Pelodiscus sinensis: one gene and its partner. The main gene of each other region encodes a partner of the protein of the gene in region 2 in a complex. Links are inferred from orthologs where the notes say so. Each region holds a gene or a part of one and is shown on either strand. Other genes may lie near its edges.

Evidence for each region. Proteins that work in one complex are often made in the same cells at the same time.
Region 1: ARPC3 (region 2) and ARPC5 share a complex: the UniProt entries of both Homo sapiens proteins name them as parts of the arp2/3 complex. The link is inferred for Pelodiscus sinensis from reciprocal best matches to the Homo sapiens genes ARPC3 and ARPC5.

What each region holds. Positions count from the first base shown.
Region 1 is NC_134719.1:57,208,716-57,219,637, reverse strand, and holds the start of ARPC5 (actin-related protein 2/3 complex subunit 5), read right to left. Parts: upstream 4,124-10,922; 5' UTR 4,027-4,123; coding exon 3,884-4,026; intron 1,761-3,883; coding exon 1,688-1,760; intron 377-1,687; coding exon 200-376; intron 1-199. UniProt on the Homo sapiens protein: Component of the Arp2/3 complex, a multiprotein complex that mediates actin polymerization upon stimulation by nucleation-promoting factor (NPF).
Region 2 is NC_134725.1:32,219,635-32,230,427, reverse strand, and holds the start of ARPC3 (actin-related protein 2/3 complex subunit 3), read right to left. Parts: upstream 4,437-10,793; 5' UTR 4,307-4,436; coding exon 4,301-4,306; intron 2,876-4,300; coding exon 2,776-2,875; intron 719-2,775; coding exon 642-718; intron 225-641; coding exon 156-224; intron 1-155. Other genes in the region: GPN3 (GPN-loop GTPase 3), read right to left, coding at 9,456-9,518. UniProt on the Homo sapiens protein: Component of the Arp2/3 complex, a multiprotein complex that mediates actin polymerization upon stimulation by nucleation-promoting factor (NPF).

The DNA.
Region 1 (10,922 bases), on a different chromosome or scaffold from region 2:
AATCAATATATAATAGGAAGTGTGCATTAATTTCACATGGTTCTCTAGGGTACCATGTCCTTTCCACCCCAACTGTTGTAATATGAATAATAGACTTAAGGGAAAGAAGGATGATTCCTATTGGACTCAAGACAGAATCCTGGATGCCAGAGTCTCTGTCCATGCAATTATCCAGCCAAAAGCAACAGACTTCACACACCTTTTCATGCCACTGCAATAACACAGCACTGCTGTTGTCAGAGGGGCTCTCAAACCCCTTGTAGATGTATTTCATTAGCAGATCAACTCCATTCTTGTCCAGAGACTGTACTGCCTTTTCAATATCATTGGCTTTGAATGAGATGAGGACTTTTAGGACGATGCTTTCTGCACGATCCTGTAAACAAGGGGAAAAGTCATAACTTGGAATAACATGACAGACAGCCAAATGTTAATGATCTCCCAGGAGGTAAAGCTTTATTCTTAATTCAAAAAGCCAAGGCAGCTCGAACACATACCAAGTTGTCAAGCATACTGTTCAACAGACATTCACCTCTGCCCTACGACAGTATGACCTCCATGGACTTTGCTATAGCCATTTAATTCTAAATAAATTTCAATTTACAGTTAACATATGCAATTAATTTGAAATCAAGTTTTAGATAAATTAAAGGGCAGCACATCGCCACTGAGGTGAAAGAAGCTAGTCTCAAACAAGAGACTCATTCTCGTCACTGCATTTGTAACAAGTTTGTTCTAGGTTTCTATCTTTGCTTATTAAGACTAGCTTTTGTTTGCAGGACTCCACCCATAGCATAAGGGTGGTACTGAACTTTCTCTCTTGACTGGACAGTTCAAAAGTCGTCGGAAATTACAGGTCTGATTGGCTTCCCTCTCACCAACTAAGCAACCTCTTATTTTTACATTGTCTAGATGGACAGCACTTCTGTGGGCCAAAAGAGATCTTAAAGGAGAAGTATTTCTACTGAGCACGGAGTTCTGTTCAGCTGAGATCTATTTTTACTCTGCATTATCTTTCTCTTCCCTCACTGAGTACTGTATTATAACTAAGGAAGTTAAAATGTGTTTATTTAGGTAAATGTATAACCTCTGAACACTTCAGCAGTTACATGCAGGGGGAGGTGGCTGCCATCTGGACCCCTCTTCCCTCCTCCCTGCCAGAGAGGAAGCAGCACCAGGCCTGGGGTGAGGGGAAGCATGGAGGGGAAGTTGGCTCCCTGGGAGCTGGTACGCATGGGAAGCCAGCTTAAAAATTCCTTGTTAGCTAGAACTATGGACTGGACACAGCCAGTCAGTGCTTACTAGTCTGAGGTGATTTTTTTGGTAAGTTCACGGGCCATGTATCGCTTTAAGTCCAAGATACGTTACAAAAAAACCTTGGATTTATAGCAAAACAACTTGAAGCAGGGAATTCCCCCTCCCCCTCCAGCTGACTTTCATTTGTGCATTTTTTTTTTTGCACAACTGAAGAGCGGGGAAATGAGAGGACTAATCATGCCTCTGTTCCTACAAGCTTAAATGACTAGTGCAGAATGGATGTGTATGAGGGATGCCCTGTACTTGGGCTGAGTATACAGGAAGAGCTTAATCACCTCAGAGAGGAACAGTGAGCAATCTGTAGAAGTCTTAGGGAATTAGGAAAGAATTTACAGCATGGCACATGAATGTGAGTTATTAACTACTTCACCTTTACTGCTTGGTTCTTGGTATTGATTGGAGGATTCTTTAGGGCTGCCTGCAATGCAGCCATCATGTTTCCTGTAAACATGAGTTAAGGAAAGATGGGGAAACAAGGACATAGAAAGCAGCAGAGATAGTCACAATAGAGTGGGATTCACAAGTAACCTGTTTCTTACTGGGAATATCAAGCATGGATTTGTGGAGAGAATATTTTCCATACTGTTGCACCTACTGAAGTGTTCAAAGTAGCAAGTATTACCCAGTCATTTAAAGCAATGGGATCAATACTAAGGTGGTACAGTTGTCAGCATCAGAGTGCACCAAATCACACAACAAAGATCCAAATATAAATAATTCTAAGTTGACCCCTTTTATCTTCAAACTCCACACAGATTGGCAAAATATCATGCAACAAGTTATAACATGGCTGTTTGACACACACACACACACGAAAAGAAGATGTGATTGCTGAAACAAGCTGGTGAATGAGAACATACTTTGTACATACATCGGAAAAATATCATCAGTTAGGGCCTCAGATTGACCTTTCCTTTCCTGTTGATGTTCAATCTATCAGTCAATTCATCACACTGTAGTTGGTTATGATTCAGAAGAGTTTTCTATTAAGATTCTTATACTGCATCATCTAGAAACCTCCCAGTAGTGCATTAAGTGACACAACTAATGGGTATCACCAGGGCTCGCCGAACTGCGGCGAGCCCTGCTTGCCAGCTGCGCTGTCTGGTGATCTGCACATGGGCCTTCCAGGTTACAGTCTACTCACCATGGGCGAGTAGATTGTATTATTTGTCGAGCCCTGGGTATCAGAGGGGAGTACTCAACTTTGGAAGCCCCAGGGGCCACAATGATACTTACAGCACATGCTAAGGGCTGCAACTTAAGCGTGATTGCGTATACATGCAAATTTATATGCAAATAGCTTCTTTCACACTGACGGGCATGAATACAAAGATTAAGGCAAGACTACATAACACGCAGGTCCCATTTAAGTCAGTTCAGGTGAATATTGCATTTTATTAATATCAGCAGATTTTCACCCATACGACAGCACTTTTAATGAACAATGAGAGTCCAGGAATTTAACTACTAACACATATCAACAGAAGACCATTATATGGAGTTGCTGTTGTGGAGCATGTTCCTAACGGAAGCCCTGTTCAAAGGACCCGCAACGCTGAGCGCAAACAAACGGGCTGCATGCAGCCTACGGGGCGTGTGCCTTGAGTAGCCCTGTTATAGAACAATGAGATCCCAAGACTGCCTCCATTATTGTCATGAACTAGAACAAAACATGCTCTAGAAACACAGCTAATTCAGGCTTCCGGCAGATTGTACAGAAAAGGATACTAAGCAGCTCCCATTTGAATTTTCTTAAAGGGTCTTATGGTTTTGAGCAAACATTTCCCTTTTGTTTTTTTTCCCCTCCAGGTTTTTCCCCTCACCTCAAATTTGAAACCATAAAACCCACTTACAAGCTAACCTTATCAAGCGCAGCCTCACCCAGAAAGGGCACATCTGAAGCTAAAGGCACTAATATGTGGAAGTAAAAAGCAACTAGATTATCACAGACTAGGTGCAATTATTCCCATAAAAGGAAAACTTCACAGAGAACACACTTCCTCCAACTCTGCAGTGCAAGAGGGGTTTGGGGGCAGGGCTCTTTCGCTGGCCCTCCCTCCTGCTCTCGTGAGGTCAGACAGGACCACATCCTCCAGCGCATGCATGCCCATGAAAACTGGGAACCAAAGAGCTGGCGGATATGAACTTACATACAGGTCTAACGGTCTCTCTGGGCAGCAGGGCGCTCACCCCAGGGCCTAGACACAGGCAGGCCGGGGAATTGAAGGCTGTTTGTAACAAGTTGCCTAGACGGGCCTGGGGGTGAGGACCGAGCACCCCTGGGCTGTCAGCGCCCCCCAGCCCTGCACGTCACTCTCTGGGGCCGGGCGGGCCGGCCCCGCTCGCAGCCTGCTCCCGGGGGCGCAGCTAAGAGGCAGGGCTGCGGGACGCGGCGGGGGCACGGAGGAGGCCGCCCCTGTCCACGCCGCAGAGCCCCGGCAGGCTCAGGGCCGGGGGCGCAGCGTCCCGCCTGTGCCCTCGGGTCCCCCGGGCTCGCGACAGGGCTGGGCGCCCCTCCCCCGTCCAGGCCGGGACTCTTTCCCCGGCGCCCGCGGAAGGATATTGCCGCAGGCAGGAGTCCACCTCGCCCTCGTCGGGCCCGGCCTGGCCGTCGCCTCCCTCCTCCTCGTCCACGAACTTGTTCTCGTCGTACTCGTCCACGTCCACCCGGCGGAAGCGCGCAGACGACACCGTGTTCTTCGCCATCGCCCCGGAACCTGCCGGCGCCTCCCGCCCGCTCCCCTCCGCAGGGCGGTGCCCGCCCCCTGCTGCCCGCAGCAAGCAGCAGCGCGCATGCGCAGCGCACAGCGCTCCTTCCGCCTCTCACTTCCGATCATGCGCACTAGGAAAAAGTCGCTCGAGCGACTTTCTCTTCCTACGGTTTAGCCGCTCGCGCTTGACACTCGTGGGTGAGCGCATGCGCCTCGCAATGCCGCCTCTCTCTTTTTTTTTTTTTTTTTTTTAAACGCACGCGCACTTTAAAACCGCACCCCTTCTTCTCTGCGCATGCGATCTGCACGGACTTCCTTTTTCCTCTGCGGCAGCCGGCGGGCCCTTGAGCGCAGACGCAGAACAGGCAAGTGGGCGGAGGAAGGCAGGGTCGGGGAGGAGCAGGTGAGTTGTTGCGATTGGTCGGCAGGGGGTGGTCACGTGCTCTCCTGGGCCGAAGGGGGCCCGTTTCCATGGGAGCGGCCTCCCGTCGCTAACGGGCGCTCGCAGTAGGGTGGGTCGTGGCGGGCGGGGTGTGAAGCGCCGCTACCGGCCCCGCCGCGCTCGGCTGAGTCGCTGCCCCACACGTGGGTGTGAGGCGCGGGGACGCGCCGGGAGCCCCCTGCCCCCCTCCGTGCTCAGGGGCGAGCGCGCCGCCCCCCAGGTCTGTCTCCCAGCGCCGGTCAGTGGGGCTCCCGGCCCGAGCGCTTCCCCTGCGGACTCCCCGCCTAGCCCCCGGGAGCAGGCCTCGCGCTCGCAGACCCGTTTTCTAGATGGGGAAACTGAGGCACAGAGGCTCAACCGTTGAGCGCTGCCCCATGTCTCTGGTTGCCGCGGTTTCTCCAGGTGGGCAGGTTTCAGTGTCACTCGTCTCCTTTCGGTGCGGGCACGCTCAGCCTCGCTGGCAAGCTCACCCACCGTGCCCCAGACCAGGCTCATAAATAAATTAGGTGCCCACAAGAAGGGGCCCCTTTGGAAATGTGGGTGGTAGTGAGTGGGTCGTGGTGAATCAGTGGTAGAACTGAGACTAAAACCCAAGCATCTGGACTCCCGGTTCCTGCTTTTTTCTGCAAATAGTAATCCCCGTCTTTATATTGCTATAAACATCTTTAAATGATCTTTGAGGCCTATGAAGATCAGATTGAATTGAAGTATAAATTATATTAGTATTGTATGTAAAATAGACATTAGTAAATGTGAGTAAAAAATCTGAGTTTACAAAAAGTATTTTGCAGAATCTAATACGAATCATGATACTTGCATAATACTCAAAACATACATTGTTTTAGCAGATTAAACGTTGTCCCGTGGTACTGGGAATCCAAACGCAAAAGCATTAGGTTAATGCTATACAAGGAGAAAGTGAAATGGACTTTTACAGTGCAAGCTGAGGAAGTACAGAGAGTGAAGTAATATAGAAATAGTGAAAAGTACATTTTAAAAAAAACCCTCGATATTAATAACATAAGAACGGTGAGACTGAGTCAGACCCAAGGTCCATCTGTCTCAGTATTCTGTCTTCTGACTGTGGCCAATGCCAAGTGTCCCAGAGGGCATGAACAGAACACGTAATCATCAAGTGATTTCTCCCCTGTCACTCATTCCCAGCTTCTGATAAACAGGCTCAGTGCACTATTTCTGTCCACCCTGGCTAATAGCCAAAACTAGACTTATCCCCCATGAATTTATCTAGTTCTTTTTTAAACCCTGTTAAACTCCTGGTCTTCACAACATCTAGCAAGGAGTACCACAGGTTGACTGCATTATGTGAAGAAACACTTCCTTTTGTTTGTTTTAAATCTGTCAGTTTAATTCAGTGACCTTTCTTGCATTATGGGAGCAAGTGCATAATTTTTCCTTATCTACTTTCTCCACACTGGTCATGATTTTATAAAACTTTATCATATCCCAATTTAGTCTTCTCTTTTCTAAGCTTAGTCTTCCTTTTCCAGTCTTTTTAATCTCTCCTCATATGGCAGCCATTGGCAACCAAAATGATAAGGGGCTTACCTTTTCTGAACTTTTTCCAATGCCAATATATAAAAAAATCTTTCAAAATATTTTATCACATGTTCCCTTAACTGTATTTTGTCATGTTTTAAAAATACAATTAAGTGATGTCAGTGGGAGTTGAAGTAGGCCCCGGAGCACTTAACGTTGTTAAGATATAGAAGCAAGGAGTTCTACGGATGTAAGCAAGTAGTTGACTAGTTGAGTAACAGATAAGCCTAGGCTTATTGGTTAATTTAGTTGACTACTTGCTTCTTCCCCCTTGCTGCCTTTTTGAGGGTCTGTCTACACTTTCACCCTCTTTTGAGAGAGGGATGCAAATGCAGCTGAGCGAAATTGCAAATGAAGCGTGGATTTGAATTTCCCATGCTTCATTTGCATTATCGCAGTCTGCCGCTATTTTGAATTACCCTATTTTGAAATAACAAACGCTGTGTAGACGTGATTATTTCGGGAGAAAACCCTTCTTCTGAAATAACCCTTATTCCTCATACAGCGAGGTTTACCGGTTATTTTGTTCTGGCCGTGCAGGCAACCAAGCTCATTCTCATCTCCCACTAAGTCTGGGACCTACTCCTGCTGCAGCTTTGCCATTTTAGGGTATGTCTAAACTACATCCTTTTTATCGAAAAAGGGATGCAGTTTAGACATAGCCTCAATGTACTAAGAGCCAAGCGGATAAGCAGCCCGGCTCTTCCTGCATCTAAAATGCAGAGCTGCAGTGGGGGTAGGTTCCAGACCTGGCTTAAACCGGGACTGAGCTGGGCTGCCTGCCCACCTGGCTCTTAGTACATTTAAACTGCAGAGCCACAGAGGGGGTAGGTCCCAGATCTGGTGCAAGCTGGAACTGGGCCGAGCTGCCTTTCTTTATTAGCTAATCAAGTAGTTGATAAAAATTCTGTCCACTACTTGATTAGCCATTAACCGCATCTTACCATCCTTAGGGAGTTCTGATACTGAGACCCTAACCCTTCCCAGACTACGGAACATGCTTGACTTCATTCAAGTATATTGTACAACTGAAGTGAAAGTACAGTAAAACTCCGGTGGTCCGGCATCCAGTGGTCCGGTATGCCTGATGGTCCGGCACCAACTGCAACCCGGAAGTGCTCTGGCAGTTGCTTCAAGTTGTTAGAGTAATTGATTAACTGCGGCAGGATCCACAGCCGACACGCAGTTAATGTAACTTTCCTCTCTACTGCCGGGAGGAGGGGGGGGGGTAGGGGTCGGTGGGGGAGGAGGAGGGGGCGAGGGTGTGCCAAAGCAGCCGCATTCAGGACGTTCTGGTCAGTTACAGTCACTCCGGCTGGATCCACAGCCAACACGCTGTTAATGTAACTTTCCTCTCTACTGCTGGGAGGGGGGAGGATGGGGGGGGGGCAGGGGTCCCTCTCCCACCGACCCCTACCTTCCCCTGCCCCCCCCTCCTCCCGGCAGTAGAGAGGAAAGTTACATTAACTGCGTGTCGGCTGTGGATCCAGCCGGAGTGACTGTAACTGACCAGAACGTCCTGAATGCGGCTGCCTGCCTGTCACCGCCTCTCCTCTCCCACCACTCGCAGGCTCTGCCTCCCTGCAGCAGGAGGGAGGGTTTGGCACACCCCCGCCCCCTCCCCCGCTTCCCCTCTGACGAGACCCGCCCCTGCCAGAGTACCTCCTGATAGTCCGGCATTTCTGATAATCCGGCACCACCTGGGTCCCAAGGGTGCCGGATTATCGGAAGTCTACTGTACTCAGCAACTTGCAGTATCAAGCATCAGAGGGGATAGTGTGCATTTCTTGGATACAGAATTTGTGTTGCTATGTTGCATGGAAAAGTGAGAAGCTAAGTGGAGTTACCAACTTTTCTTTAGTTGCAGTATTTTATAACATTAAATATTAATAACAAATAATTGTATAGTGCTTTCAGTATTGTAATAATTTAAGCTTCATACTGTATATAATTTCAGCACTACCTTTTCAAACTTTATATAAAAGTTTCATATAATTCTGTTATATTTTTAAATATAACTTAAAAATCATACTATGTGAACTTCTGGGAGGTGAGAGGTAGCAGCCTTGGAGGGTGAAGGCTTTTTTATTCACAGGATCGGTACTGAGAGCATAGTATTTCCCAGGTTATGCCCACTCTTAGCTGAAGGAATCATTTCTGCAGATCCAGGTAGAGTTTGGGCCATATTGTCCATTTCATCTTTGCCATATGCTGATGCTTCTAATAAAGATATTAATTATGCTGGTGTCTTGTATAATGTGGATATCTCTCTGGTGAAAATCGGATTGAGACCCGTCAATTCCATTTTTTGTACATCACTAAAAGTCATTAGTGGGTCCTGAATTTTCATCATTACTGGCCTAGTTTGGATTTAAATGAGTATTCAAAAGGTAAAAGTTTCCAGATCCACAACATCAGTTTTCTGACCCATCTAGACCCCCTGCTTGTATATTAACTTTCGTAAGAGATGCCTTTACTTCTTTTCCCCCCTTTGATATCTGTAGTCTTACTACTTAAAAGTCGTTCAGTGATTTCTACCATCTGAATCGGTCTTCCATGGGAAAAGGTTTGTGAATGACTGGTATCATTAGATAACCCCTTAGACATTTTTAAATGCCTTACAATATTGTTAGGTTTGAGATCTGAATATTGCCCTCCAAAGGGCAGAAACTTGCTTGCAAAAGGTACCAAATGGCTGTGAGTCAGTCATAAGTGGTGGCAATCTGCCATCCATCATTGCTGAAGGTGGGTGAGCAAAATAATATTTGCTGCAAATTCTACCGATCTTTTTGATTTTCATATATGTTGCCTGGGGAGATGCTTTCATGAAATAAGATTTCATTCCTGTTATGTTGTTAATTGTATGTGAATTTTGATGATCAGCTAACGCTCTTGCAGGTAAAACTGGATAGTAAAGGGTTGCTTCTGGCATACCACTCACAAAATTGCAAAGGAGGGAATGTCAGATCCTACCACATAATGGGTTCAGAGTCACATAAGGCCATAAGCTGGCAAGGCTTCGTAAAGCTTCACAGTTCCATATGGACACAGGGAAATCATCCTCAGTGTAATAAAGCTGAGAGAAATAAATACAGAAGATAATGTCTCGGTACTTTGTCAAGAAGTTGTAGATCTTGCTTATGCAGCAGTGCTCAGCCTCATTACAAGGAGAATAGTTTGAATAAAGAATTATATACCCAATGCCGTCATAATCGTATGTAACTACATGCAGATAACCACACATCTCAAACAACATAGACTCTGGATGGATGTTACACTTAAGGCAGTTGGTTGCATGGCCCTTTTGGACTAGTGTCCCAGTAGGGTTGCCAGATGGTTGAAACAAAAATTCTGAACACTCTTCTCCCCCCCCCCCCCCCAAAAAAAAAAACCACCAGGAAAAAATTCTGTTGAAGGGGGGGAAAAAGGGAGGGGGAGAGACCAAAGTAGTTGAGCAAAAAATAAAATAAAATAAAACGGCATTAAAACAGCATGTCCCCTTTAAGAGTGAGTGCAGGGATAGGAACAGGGGAGGAGTTGAGCACTAAGACCCAGTGGAAGCATTGCTTCCCCTTGGTCGGCAGTCATTTTGTGCAGGCAGCCTTGTGGAACCAGGTAAGCATGGGGACTGGGGTCGGGGGGGGGGGGGGGGGCTGGGTGTGTTGGGAGCCGGGGAGAGGGGGTGTCGGGGGGGGGGGGAAGGCCAGGTGCTGAGTGTTTGTAGGGTTGCCAGGTGCCCAGCATTTTTGCATCCTGGCCAGGGAAAAAATCAGAAAATACTGGACTGTTCAGGTGAATACTGGACACCTGGTAACCCTATGTCCCAGAGAAGCTCCTCAGTTCATAGAATATAAGATGTTTGTTTTGAGGACTCAGTAGCCCATATGGGAATCCAAAGGCCATATGAAATTCCACATAAGGGACTCTTTCTTCTTCACCTGTCCGTATATGATAGGGGCATTTAGCACAGCTCTGTGTCTGCCAGTAGTAGGACTTTACTGCTGTTCCTTGATTTGTCAGATATTCCTGGAAAAAAGTTTGCCTTTCTGGGTTCATATTTCTGTAATTAACAATCCTGAAAGAAGAAAAAAGAAACTCATAATTTATCCCTCCCATTTCCTTTACATGTACACTGCTAATATAATGCATATTCTCCTCTGAATATACTGCTGCTCAAGTAGAGACTAGAAAGCTTTGTGGATGGCAGTCTCAAATTAAGAGAGGTAAAGTTGGAAGCATAAGATCCAAGATTGTCCTTGATTTTGTGGGCCTGCCTTCTTTGTTTAAAAAAAAACCCAAAACATAACAGAAAATGTCTCTACCTGCTACTACCCCCGTCCCATAAAAGTGCAAAGTATGTAATAAAAGCATTGCATACTGTTCAGAAATTGAATCACTAGGTTTTCCATATACAACCTGATTACATCTATGCAAAATCGAATAGTTTAAAATGTATAATTACCATCAGTACATCGCCAGACCAGGATAGTCGTCAATTTGTATGTAGTCCACTTCATAGTCTTTTCTGGGACCAATTATTGAGTCCAATTTTAGTCTAATCAATTTGTAAACTTTGGTGGGGAGAGGTTAGATAATTTGTTCAATGTAGGAAAAATCTTGTTCTTGTCGCCTATCTACCAACTTGTAGTTTTGTTGTATAACTTTGCTGAGGCGTGGCAACCCTGCTATAGTGTAGCCAGACAAACTTCCCCCCCCCCCACATCCATCTTATTTGTCTCTCTGAGGTTCCTGAAGCATACAGGGCAGAGAAGGAGCAATAAAATCAGCATAGTCTATGCTGGCTTATCTGTTCCTGAGAAGCTGAAAACATAGATATGAGAAAAGAGCGATTAAGGCAATAAGCTGACCTCGAGACTGCGAGAACTGCCCCG
Region 2 (10,793 bases):
GAGAGCCCATTAGAGTGTTTGAAGCATTACATTCTAAGCAACAGCATTTTTGCCTGTGTTTTCACACTGTCTTAGACAAACGAGCAGAACTGACATTTTTATTGCCATTTATTGTACTTTCTTCCTTCAACTTAAATTAAATTAAATTTTATTACCTTTTGCAGCTTCTTTAAGCATTCAGAAATATAGAGAGTTATGTAGATCAATGTTCTGTCAGCCTCATTCTGTCAAATAAAAGGAAGCAGAAGCCATTTGCTATTGTTAGATTTTACACCTGCTGACAAAGCTATCACCTTTTTAGTCTATGGTCTCTCACAAAAGAGATGCGTTGACAGCATAGAAGACACATTTACCTTACTTGAAAAGTTTTAACTAGAAAAAAATTGTTTCTTTCATTATATACCCCACTCTCCCTTGCGCTCGCTCTCTCTCTAAATATATATATATATATATATATATATATATATATATATATATAGAGAGAGAGAGAGAGAGAGAGAGAGAGAGAGAGAGAGAGAGAGAGAAATAAAAATTCTTGGAAGCTTGAAGCTTATTGCAGTGAAGTAATTCTACAATTCAACAGGGTACAAGATTCTAATAACTGTGCACAGGTTTTAATATCTTAAATCTTCATTTCTTACCTTAATTTCATAATTCTTGAAGAAGACATTTGCTTTGAAGTAGTAGATGGCTTCATCTATAATATCGGTGTCCTTTGCTAGCAAGAAAGGTAGAAAATGGGAAAATTAGGCAGAACTTAAAGATAACATCACTAGAATTTAAATGGAAACAGAGGAGTGACGTTTGCTAAGACTGACAGTAAATAGTAGCATGATCTTCCATTTCACTCACTTGCAAAAACAATAACTCTTCCCAAAAACAAAGCCACAGAGGTTTTGTACTAATTCCCAGCAAAGATTTAATAGGAAAATAAGTGTTATAGCAGTATCCCATATGACCACAGCTTCGTTACTTACACATGGCAGCACGTACTACAAGACACTTACTGTAAGATGAGGTATCAATTAATTCAAGCTTTATGCTTGCCAAAGTAAATTTTACTATCAAGCAGCTTTGATTTTTAATATAATAATTGTTCACTCCATTATGGAGTGGAGCCATTGAATAGAGATGTAATCCTGCAGAGTAGTCATGAGGCATTGTGAAAGACTTATCAGGAGAATAAGTACTGAAGTAGTATCTAACTACTATAAAGGGTTATATTGAATCTTACCACTATTTTAAAACCTATTGAAACCCGCAATTCAAAGACCACAGTGAATCTTAATAGTTGCATGATGCCCCAGGAACTAGCCTGACTATACAACAAGGCACCTTAAAGACTAACAGATTTATTTGGGCATAAGCTTTTATGGGTTGACTCCAATGCTTCTGATGAAGCGGGTTTTACCCATGAAAGCTTAATGCCCAAATAAAACAGTTAGTCTTTAACATGTCACAGGAATTCTCGTTGTTTTTGCAGATACAGATTTATCACAGTTACCCTTTTGAACCTGACAATAGTGAATTTAGGCTGAATTAAAAACAAAAAACACACACACACACAAATCAAAAGATTACGGAATTTAAACTAGAACAAGGTCTTCTGGAGGCATCAAAGAGAAAACAAACCAAATGTGTTCATCACTGAAGACACACTGGAAAAATAGCACATTATTTATTGTGGTAGCACTCGGAAGCCCCAGTCAAGATCAGGACAAATGACTGATCACACATTGTTCATTCTGCTTGCATGTTATAGCCCTTCCCACTGTCCTTCATCTGTCCTGTCTGTTTAGACTGCCAGCTCTTCGGGACTGAATTTGGGATTTGTGTCTAGCACTATGGAGCCCTAATTTTGACTGGTCCCTAGTCACTACTGTAATAAACATGGATTAATAATAATGGCTCCATTCCACTAGATCCATGGTGTCCAACAAGACATGATTCAGAGTTTACATGCTAAGGCTGCAATCCCACCATTGGGTCTGCACAAGGAGACCTTTGCACTTCATGGAAAGCCAATTAAAATCAATGGGGCTCCATGTGAAACCATGTGGATTCAATTACAAGACTAGTGTCTTGGATTAAAAGTGACATACGAAGACTCAAGATGATAAAATGACTAACAAAAGCAAGGGTTACATACAGATTATTATTCTAAGGTGGATAGAACAACTCCCAAAGGGAGAAGGAGGAGAAACCAAGATAGAGTGAAAAGAAACAAAACAATTCAGAAGCAACAACACTACAGATAATTTTGTACAAGAGCTATAGAAAGGGGGTGACTATCACAAGACAGGACTGAGTAGAGTTTGGAGTCAGCTGTTGGTTCAAGGCACTGGCATAAATTTTAAACAGCAGTTGAGAAGGACACATTATACAAATTAGATCAGAGGATTCTTCTTCAGGAAAAAGCATTCAGAGGCTTGTATTGGGAAGGGTAAATGTTCCGGATAGATGGCACAGCAGAAGGCAAAAGAAACCCCCAATCCAACAGCATTAATAGCCATCTGAAAGTCAACTTCCTCTATTACCAGGAAGTACCCATTTCTAATCTGTCCCTTTTCTCCTCAGTTTGAAAACCATACACACACACACAAAATCAAAAGCCTCAAGTAGATACAGTTTATATAAAGTGTCCTATAACCATTTCCAGATCAGTGATATGAAATATTCATGAAAGAGAAGCAATTAGGACTGGATTTAAATGGACTGCAAAATAAATAAATGCAAATACAGATATAGTACTTATAAAGAGTGTTGTGAACCTACTTTCCCTTGGAGCTGGTCCTTTGAACTGACTTCTAATGGGTAACAAAGCCATGTTCCCAATTAACTTGGTATCGGAGTCCATTAAAGTGGAGTGATAAGCCTATAAACAAAAGAGGAAGTCTGACTGTGAGCAATAAAAAGAAAATAAGTAGTTTTCTCCCTTGAAAGAATAAAATTACACAAATGTCCCCCTCTAAATGATGGATGCACGGTTTGTCCAGTTAACAATGATCCAGCAACCACACCTTGTGGAAGTTCAGTGGTATTTGCTTACCTAGCTAATTAGGCCTTAGTAACATTTGGGGAGGTGGGGGGAGGACGACTCCTACTACGAAACTGCCATAGTCTAACTGGAGGCAATAATGGTGAATGCTATAACATAGAAGAGGTAGAAGTGTGTGCTTCCATCACCAGTTGTCTAACTCAGAGCAGATCTAAATAACTTGATGGCAAATATGTTCAGAACCTTTATCATATCTACTTTTCCGGTGCTTCAACAATGGCAATTAAAAAAAAAAGGTCAGTGTAGATACAGCTTAAGAATCACGTTCTGCTTTGGTGCTTAAATCTTTTCTTGACAATTGCAATATGAGCCAATGTTGTAGAAAGGAGGTTTATTTCAAAATATACATGCACTTAGAATATAAGATAAGTTACTTTAAAACACCAATGCTGATGGGACTTTTCTGTTTCTTTGTTTTGGGTTTTTTAAATATTTTCATATAAAAGTAATTTTCACCTATAATGCTCCTAGTTTATCCAATAAGGGAATATTCTTAATTTTGTAGGGGTTTAGTCAAACTGGAAAGGCCCAGCTGTTCCCTAAGTTAGGTGGTGGGCTCAGCAGGCCTTGAGCAAGGGGCAGTGATCATATAATTCCACTCTATTTCTTTATGATGCTAAGTAAGCAAGGACAACCGTGTTTTGCAACCTTACCAATGCTGTGTAAAAAAAAAAAAAAAAAAATCACACAAGATAAACTGAGAAGTTACAACGAAAAGGCCCCACCCTTTCATCTGCCCAGAGCCCCAATTAAATCAACAAAGAGCTGCCCATCTAGTCTAATTGTAAAATCAACAACCAGCTAACTTCGCGTCGACCCGCGCATATGAAGCAAAATCCTTTGTGGGGGACAATATCATGAATAGTGCCGTGCGGTTTGCAGAGGCGCTGACTATTGCCTTAAAAGGAAGTTCCCCCGTTTTGTTGGTAGAGGTGACATTTCCCACTGCAGCAGCTAGTTTCGCTCAGCTTCTTCCTATTTCTGAACAGAGAAAGAAACCCCAGAGCCGTTGTGATGTTTTCTACCCGATCCTTGAAGCCCCCCTGATGGGCTGCGGATTGCAAAACGAGCAGCAGCCAAGGGGCCCAAATGCTCAGCCCCGGGCCTAGCATCCATCCCCCGTAGCATTTCCTGCCCTTCCCTGGCTAGCAGCAGCCACAGTGCTCGCAGGGCAGCGGGGTGCAACCCAAGCACGCGCAAGGAGCCGGGGCCCTGTAGACCCGCAGGGTCTCTTTTCCTTACCGGCATTTTTTGTCGGTGGGGACGGTCGTTTCCCAGGAGGCAGAGAGCGCAGGAAGCCGCCTGAGTCAGCAATGCAGCAGCTTGCAGAGAGCCAGCCCTTCCTGTCCCACCCCAGGCGGCTGCAAGCAGGAAGTCCTGTGCGCGCAGGGCAGGAGCTGGCCAGCAGGGGGCGGCAGAGCGCTAGGAAGGCAGCGGCCGCGGAGCCTCTGCGGGTAGAGCGCTCGCAAGGGTCCCGGCCTCAGCTCCTGGGGGAGGATGTGGCGCGGTTCTTGCTTTCTAAATGCAGTGGGTCCAAGTCCTCCCTGATGTAACAAATGACAAGGCTGCAGATTAGGGATGTTAAATACCAGTTCATTGAATAGCCCAGTAACCTCATGAATTCTTATGGGTTACTTGACTATCCTATAGCCCCTGCCACGCTGCATGCTGCCTGGGTATCGGACACAGCAGCATGGGGTGCCTGGTGGGCGCCGGTTTGTGCGGGAAGCCAGTTTAAAACCCAGCTCCCCTTGAGGGCCTGTGCTGTTGACCTGTGCGCTGCCACCTCTGATAAAGAGGCAGTAGCATGGGGTGGGCAGAAGCCCCCATCTGGGGGTGGTCTGAGCTCCCAGATCATGTGCAAGCCAGAACTGAGCTGGGCTGCCAACCAGCCTGCTAAAATACTTACTGGCAAGTAGGGAGGAGGATGGAATGTGTTTAGTCTATAGCATTAACCTATAAGCTTTTGCTTATAGGTCAATGGGTTAATCAACTACACTTTTACAACCCTACTGCAGATCCCTGATTTCTGTTTGCGCTGCTCAAGAGGGATTTGTTATTGCCAGAGCAGGGGCCTACAAGTCTGGAAATGAACTGAGCCCACAACATAGAGAGTCAAAGCTGGCAACTGCACCAGTGCAAAGCACAGCACTCTGCCTCTCGCTGTGCTTTGCACTGTGCATCTAAGTTGGCTGCTGGGTGCTGATTGCTGAATTCAAAGTATAGGCAAGGTCTGTAGGCGCCAGGCCTGCATTCACTCCACACAGAAACAAGAAGTTCCCCTCAAAATCATTAGATAGGCAAAAAAAAAATTTTTTTTCAACTATCATGATTTTTTAGTCAATCTGGGTTTTGAGCCCAGAAGGTTCAGCTTTTCTCCACAGTTCTGGTGGACAGAAACTTAAATTTAAAAATAATGGAAGTTGGGATTCTTGCATAATCAATTGACTCCAGAAGCTGGGATTCTAAGAGAAACACCAAGTATCATGAAACCCATGATAAAAACCTGAGAGCTGGCTCCACTGCAGACACAAAAGCCCACTTGTGAGAATCTTAGTGCTCGATCAAGGCCTATAGCCTTGCCCAAATGCTTCATTTTTTCCTAATAGAATCCTACAGGGGAAAGATGCATCCATGGCACTTCCTACTTTACTGAGTAAAGGAATAAATGTGTTTTCTGTAGGATGTACTCACTTCAAACCAATGCAGGAACGGCACATTTTCAGGGTATTGTTCAAGACCAGTTTTTATAGAAAACATTTCAATTTTCTAGCAACCTTTTGTTTCCCTATCTTTATTTGTTCCCATTTGGATCATTCTGTGGGATTCTTATCCTGCTACCAATTACTATCTCCCTCCCCCCCTCCTTTCAAGTGCCTTTCGCCCCCTCCCTGCAATAATATCACCCCTTCAGAATATTTGAAAGGAATGCATTCTCCCTGAGACACACAGAATTTATTCCTTAAATACACACCACCATTACCTGTATTTGATATCAACTTAGATGGATTCCTTGCTTGAGAGCAGAGGGGAGTTCAACAACCAGAAAAATGTATTGTTTTATTTTATCATTCCAAGAAGACCCCCCCCCCCCCCACACACACAATTTAATTTGCCTTTTCAAAGATATAAAATACAGTCTTTGGCCAAAATGTTTTGTTGCTCCAAGTTTAACATTGTACAGGTAAGGCATTTGTTCAAAAAATAAAATAAATCTACTTCATGCCTCATCAAAAGTCTCTGTGGGTTTTCTGTGAACAATCATTTTTAAGATTAAAATTTATGAGAACTTTGTCAGGTGTTTACCTGTGATCAGCAGAAAAAGCTTAACCATATTATGAACATAAATATGATGTTGAATTAGATGATCTAATTATCTCCTAAGGAAATAGACAGAAAGCTCATAATTTGAACCATTTAGAACTCGAGAAGTAGATATTAAGACAGTCACAAGACATGATCTAAATGCAATTCTACATTAAATCATTAAACAATTATTTCTGTACCAATGACCATTTATTAAGCATTATTTGAATAATTATGATGTACAGTGTCAATAAATGCATCACTACAAAGAATAAAATTTAATAATACTCTCCTATTAAAAGCTAACATATTCCATAAGCTTATCAGTTAGATCCAAAAATAGACTTGGCATGTGTAACTTGTAATTGACATTTGGGGCCAAATCCTCCAAAAATACGACCACGTATCTTTATTCATGAGAAATCAGACGGACTGCTCCCTTATTTATGAAGTTACTCAAGGTTTTAGATGCATATAGGGTTTTATATATATACAAAAATACCCACAGTTTTTATGATATAAGTTTAATACAAATACCAATGAAATATGAATTCTCTCTCTCAAAAAAAATTAGACAGGATACATAGTGGCCTTATTTGATGCCAAATACTTGCTTGGACAATATTTCCTCTGGAGTTAGTTAAATTAGTAGATAGTGTAGTCAACCTTGTATAACTATTGGCAATTCTAATCTAATTCAGAAATGTTTTTCTTTCTTAGGAAGGCATCACTGTGTTTCACAATTTTCATCCACAGAAAAGTTATTTCAAGTAGCACAAGAGGATTTTATTTATTTTTGTCTTGTTCATGGAATCTTAGCTGGAGTAGGCTGCCTGAAAGCACATATCCTTATACTGAATGAAATCCTGCAACTCTTATGCCATGAGTACTCCCACCAAAGTCCACAAGAGTTTTGCTTCAAAGTACTGATTTGATTCTTAGCACATTAAAATAATAAAAGGAGCAACATATAATGAGAGCTCTTTGGTAATGTGTCACTGATTGTCAGTATATAGAAATGTGAGGGAGAGCACATGTACTTTAAAGAAAACCAAAACTTATTCAACTTTTCCTCCCTCAACTGAGTGTTTAAAATGCTCTCTTGGAAACATGAAAACCTTGGGTGAAACTATCAATAGCGCAACACCCTGTGTTAGTATTACATTCAGTCTTTATCAAATGCCTTTTACAAATGTCAGTCAATTTTCACTAGCTTGTCTTATTTTAGCTTGTATTGTATTTTAGCTTGTCTTATTTTATTTATTGCCTTATTTATATTCAAATGGGTCAAATATTTGAGTAAGGCATTTTACCACTACTGTTCTGAGTGATGAAATGCATGTTTATTTAAACCACACAGTGAAGTGACATGAAATATATATCAACATGAGTTTAGCTGCAATATTTACAAACTGTAGAGTCACAAATCAGTTTCACAAGTCATTTCAAACAACTGTCAAACCTTTATGCCACACCATATCTCTGGTCATTCTTTATATGCCACATGTTGTCCAGTGTGTAACAGAAAAGGAAAATAAATTACCCTCAAATCATGTTGTTGTATTTTCATGGTCCAGTATTTCATCATGAATCTCACACAGGTAGAAATGACATTTACCACTGTAAAGTTTCCTAGTTCCAACAGTAATAGGTTAAAAATCCAGTATTTCCAAGCTCTGACTTCTCTGCTATTAAGGGTTGTACTTCTTGCAAAGCAGTGTAATGATGGAGGAAAAGTTAAACCTCACACTCTGTTTTGTTAATTTTGAAGTGACAGCTCTTTGGAATCCTAGAAATAGTTCCTGGTGAAATAGATTAGTGGACAGAGTACAGATAAGGGAAGGGTGCACTTTATCACCTAGATATCCTTACCATTCTGTGTAGGGTGTATATAACTCTGGAGCAGTCATGTGACCTTCACATCAGGACACTTTTGATCACATCTAAGAGTGCCCCTTCAAAACATACCATGAAGAGTTCTAGTCCGAAGAGGATGCTAAAATGAGGACAGAATTCCTGAAGCAAACCAGATTTTCCAACTTTGAAATCCTAAGAAGGTTGAAAGGATAAACAAGGGAATTGCTGGCTCTCTCACACACAATTTATTAAACATTGTGATGGTCAAATAATGCAATATAAACATCTGAAAAAGTATTCTCTCATATTCAACTATTGTACAGAGTATTACAGCAATAGCAGCAATTACCTTCAAAGAACAGCTTTTCACATCTCTCAGAAATAGTTGTGAAAATCCAAAGTATTAAGTCATCACTTAAAAGTCAGATTTCCCTTTCAGACAACTTGCCATTAGCTAAGGATTTCAAAACATCTCTTGAAGGATACACAGACACTGCCAGATTGCATAGGTCTATAATGTATGTTGTTTAAAATTAAATTAAATTAAATATTTGATGATCAGATTAACAAAATTCTATTGGACCAAATTCATACCTGGTGTAACAAGGTTTAACTTCATTGATACCAAGAGAGCTACATCAATTTAAAACAGGTATGAAGTTGGCGATTGATATATTAATCTCAACATTTACAGGAGGGTTACAAAAAAAAACCCAAAACACATTATTGGAGGCATTTAAATGTCTGCAGTGGTGGGAAGGAAAAGCTACCACCACTAAATAAGCACACAATTAATCACAAAGTAAAAATGATTATGCCACTTTTCGTTATCTGAGTAAAATACAAAATATGAACTCTAGGAGAAAATTATAAGTTATCTAGATTTTTAAACATTTTCTCCTACTAATAAGTTATTAGAACAAGGAAGAAAAAAAATATTTTTATTTTGACAGTCCCCCTCTACAACCACCATATTTTTCAAACAATCTAGCATTTAAAAGAGAAATGCAATTATCTTCATGGAATATAGCTTACTGTGACTGAGGCTAAGTATTTTATATACAAGAATGACAATTATTTCTGAAAGTAATAATATGGAAATGCATGACTCACTTTCTCTAGTGATTTATTCAAATTATCTTACAGTTTTGATATTTTAAAAAAATACACACAAATATTTAGAGGATCCCTTAACAAAGCATATTTTACAACCAGGCTTTGGTATATTCACTCTTTACTCATCCACTTGGTCTTGAAAATATTCATCTAAAGTAGCAGATTTATCTTCTTCATTTTCCTGCCACAAAAAAAACCCAAAAGAAAAGTAAATATTAGTTCAATTTACCTCTATGGTTACATCAAGTCATCTATTCTATGGCATTTTTATTGCAATAGAAATAACAACATTCCATAAAACAGGTGACAAGCAATATCAAGAAGCAATCTGGTTCCTATAGTGCAGGTGTTCCCAAACTTTTTGACACAGGGACCAGTAAATCTGTTCATGAGCTTTTGGGGGACCGGTAACATTCAATTTCATATTTGCATATTCATTAAGCAAATGATCAATATGCAAATAAGTTGTTTCTGGTCCTCCCAACGCCCCCAGTGCCAGCTTTAGAAAAAGCTTTTGATACGGTCACCCACAATATTCTTGCCAGCAAGTTAAGGGAATTTGGGTTGGATAAATGGACTGTAAGATGGATAGAAAGCTGGCTAAACCAGGGTTTCCCAAACCAGATGACGGATTTTTTGGACCAGGGGAAGTCATTTCAGGGCTCCTGATTCCCTCCCTCCCCACTAGGCTTCTTTGCACCTCCCTCCCCTGCAACCAAACTGAGCTGCCCACCTCCACTGGTTCCCTGCAGCTCCCCCAAAACCATTCCCCACAATCCAAGGGAGTGCAGCACCAGTTCCCTGCAGCCCCTCACAGCCCAGTTGAGCTGCTTTTCTGTTCCCTATGCCTTCCCCCATCCACCTCAGCCCAGTTGATCCCCATACTGGTTCCCTGCATGCTTCCCTCACAGCACAGTTGAGCCCTGTTTCACTGCAACTCCCCTCAAAGCCCCACAAAACTGCTGAGCCCAGCTCTGATTTCCTGCCACTCCCTCCCTTTGAGTCTAGCCCCGGGTTCCCGGCACCTCCCTACTCCTGCAGCCCAGCGCCACATATCTCCTCCCTGCCCCGCCCACAGCCCAGCCTGGCACCCCCCTCACATCAGATGAGTAGCAAGGGTGTTATGCAAAAGCAAAATTTGCACCCCCACCCTTGCCACGATGGGGCAGGGCCCTGAACCTTTAAACCCTACCTTTAAAGTCGCTGCTTGGCCCTGCCTCGGAGGCTTGATTGCACAGGGAGTACATGGCCCAACAACGCTCATGTAATGTAGAAAGTTGCTACCTTATAGGAATGTGCTACTGGTAGCATTTTATCATCTGTACAATTGTAAGGTAGTGCTCCTATAGGAAACTGCTACCAGAAGTAGCACAATCCCACAGGGAGCATTTCCATACAGACCAGGTTTGCCACAACTCATGATGCTGTGTGCTCTGCTCCCACCCCAGCCCAGCGC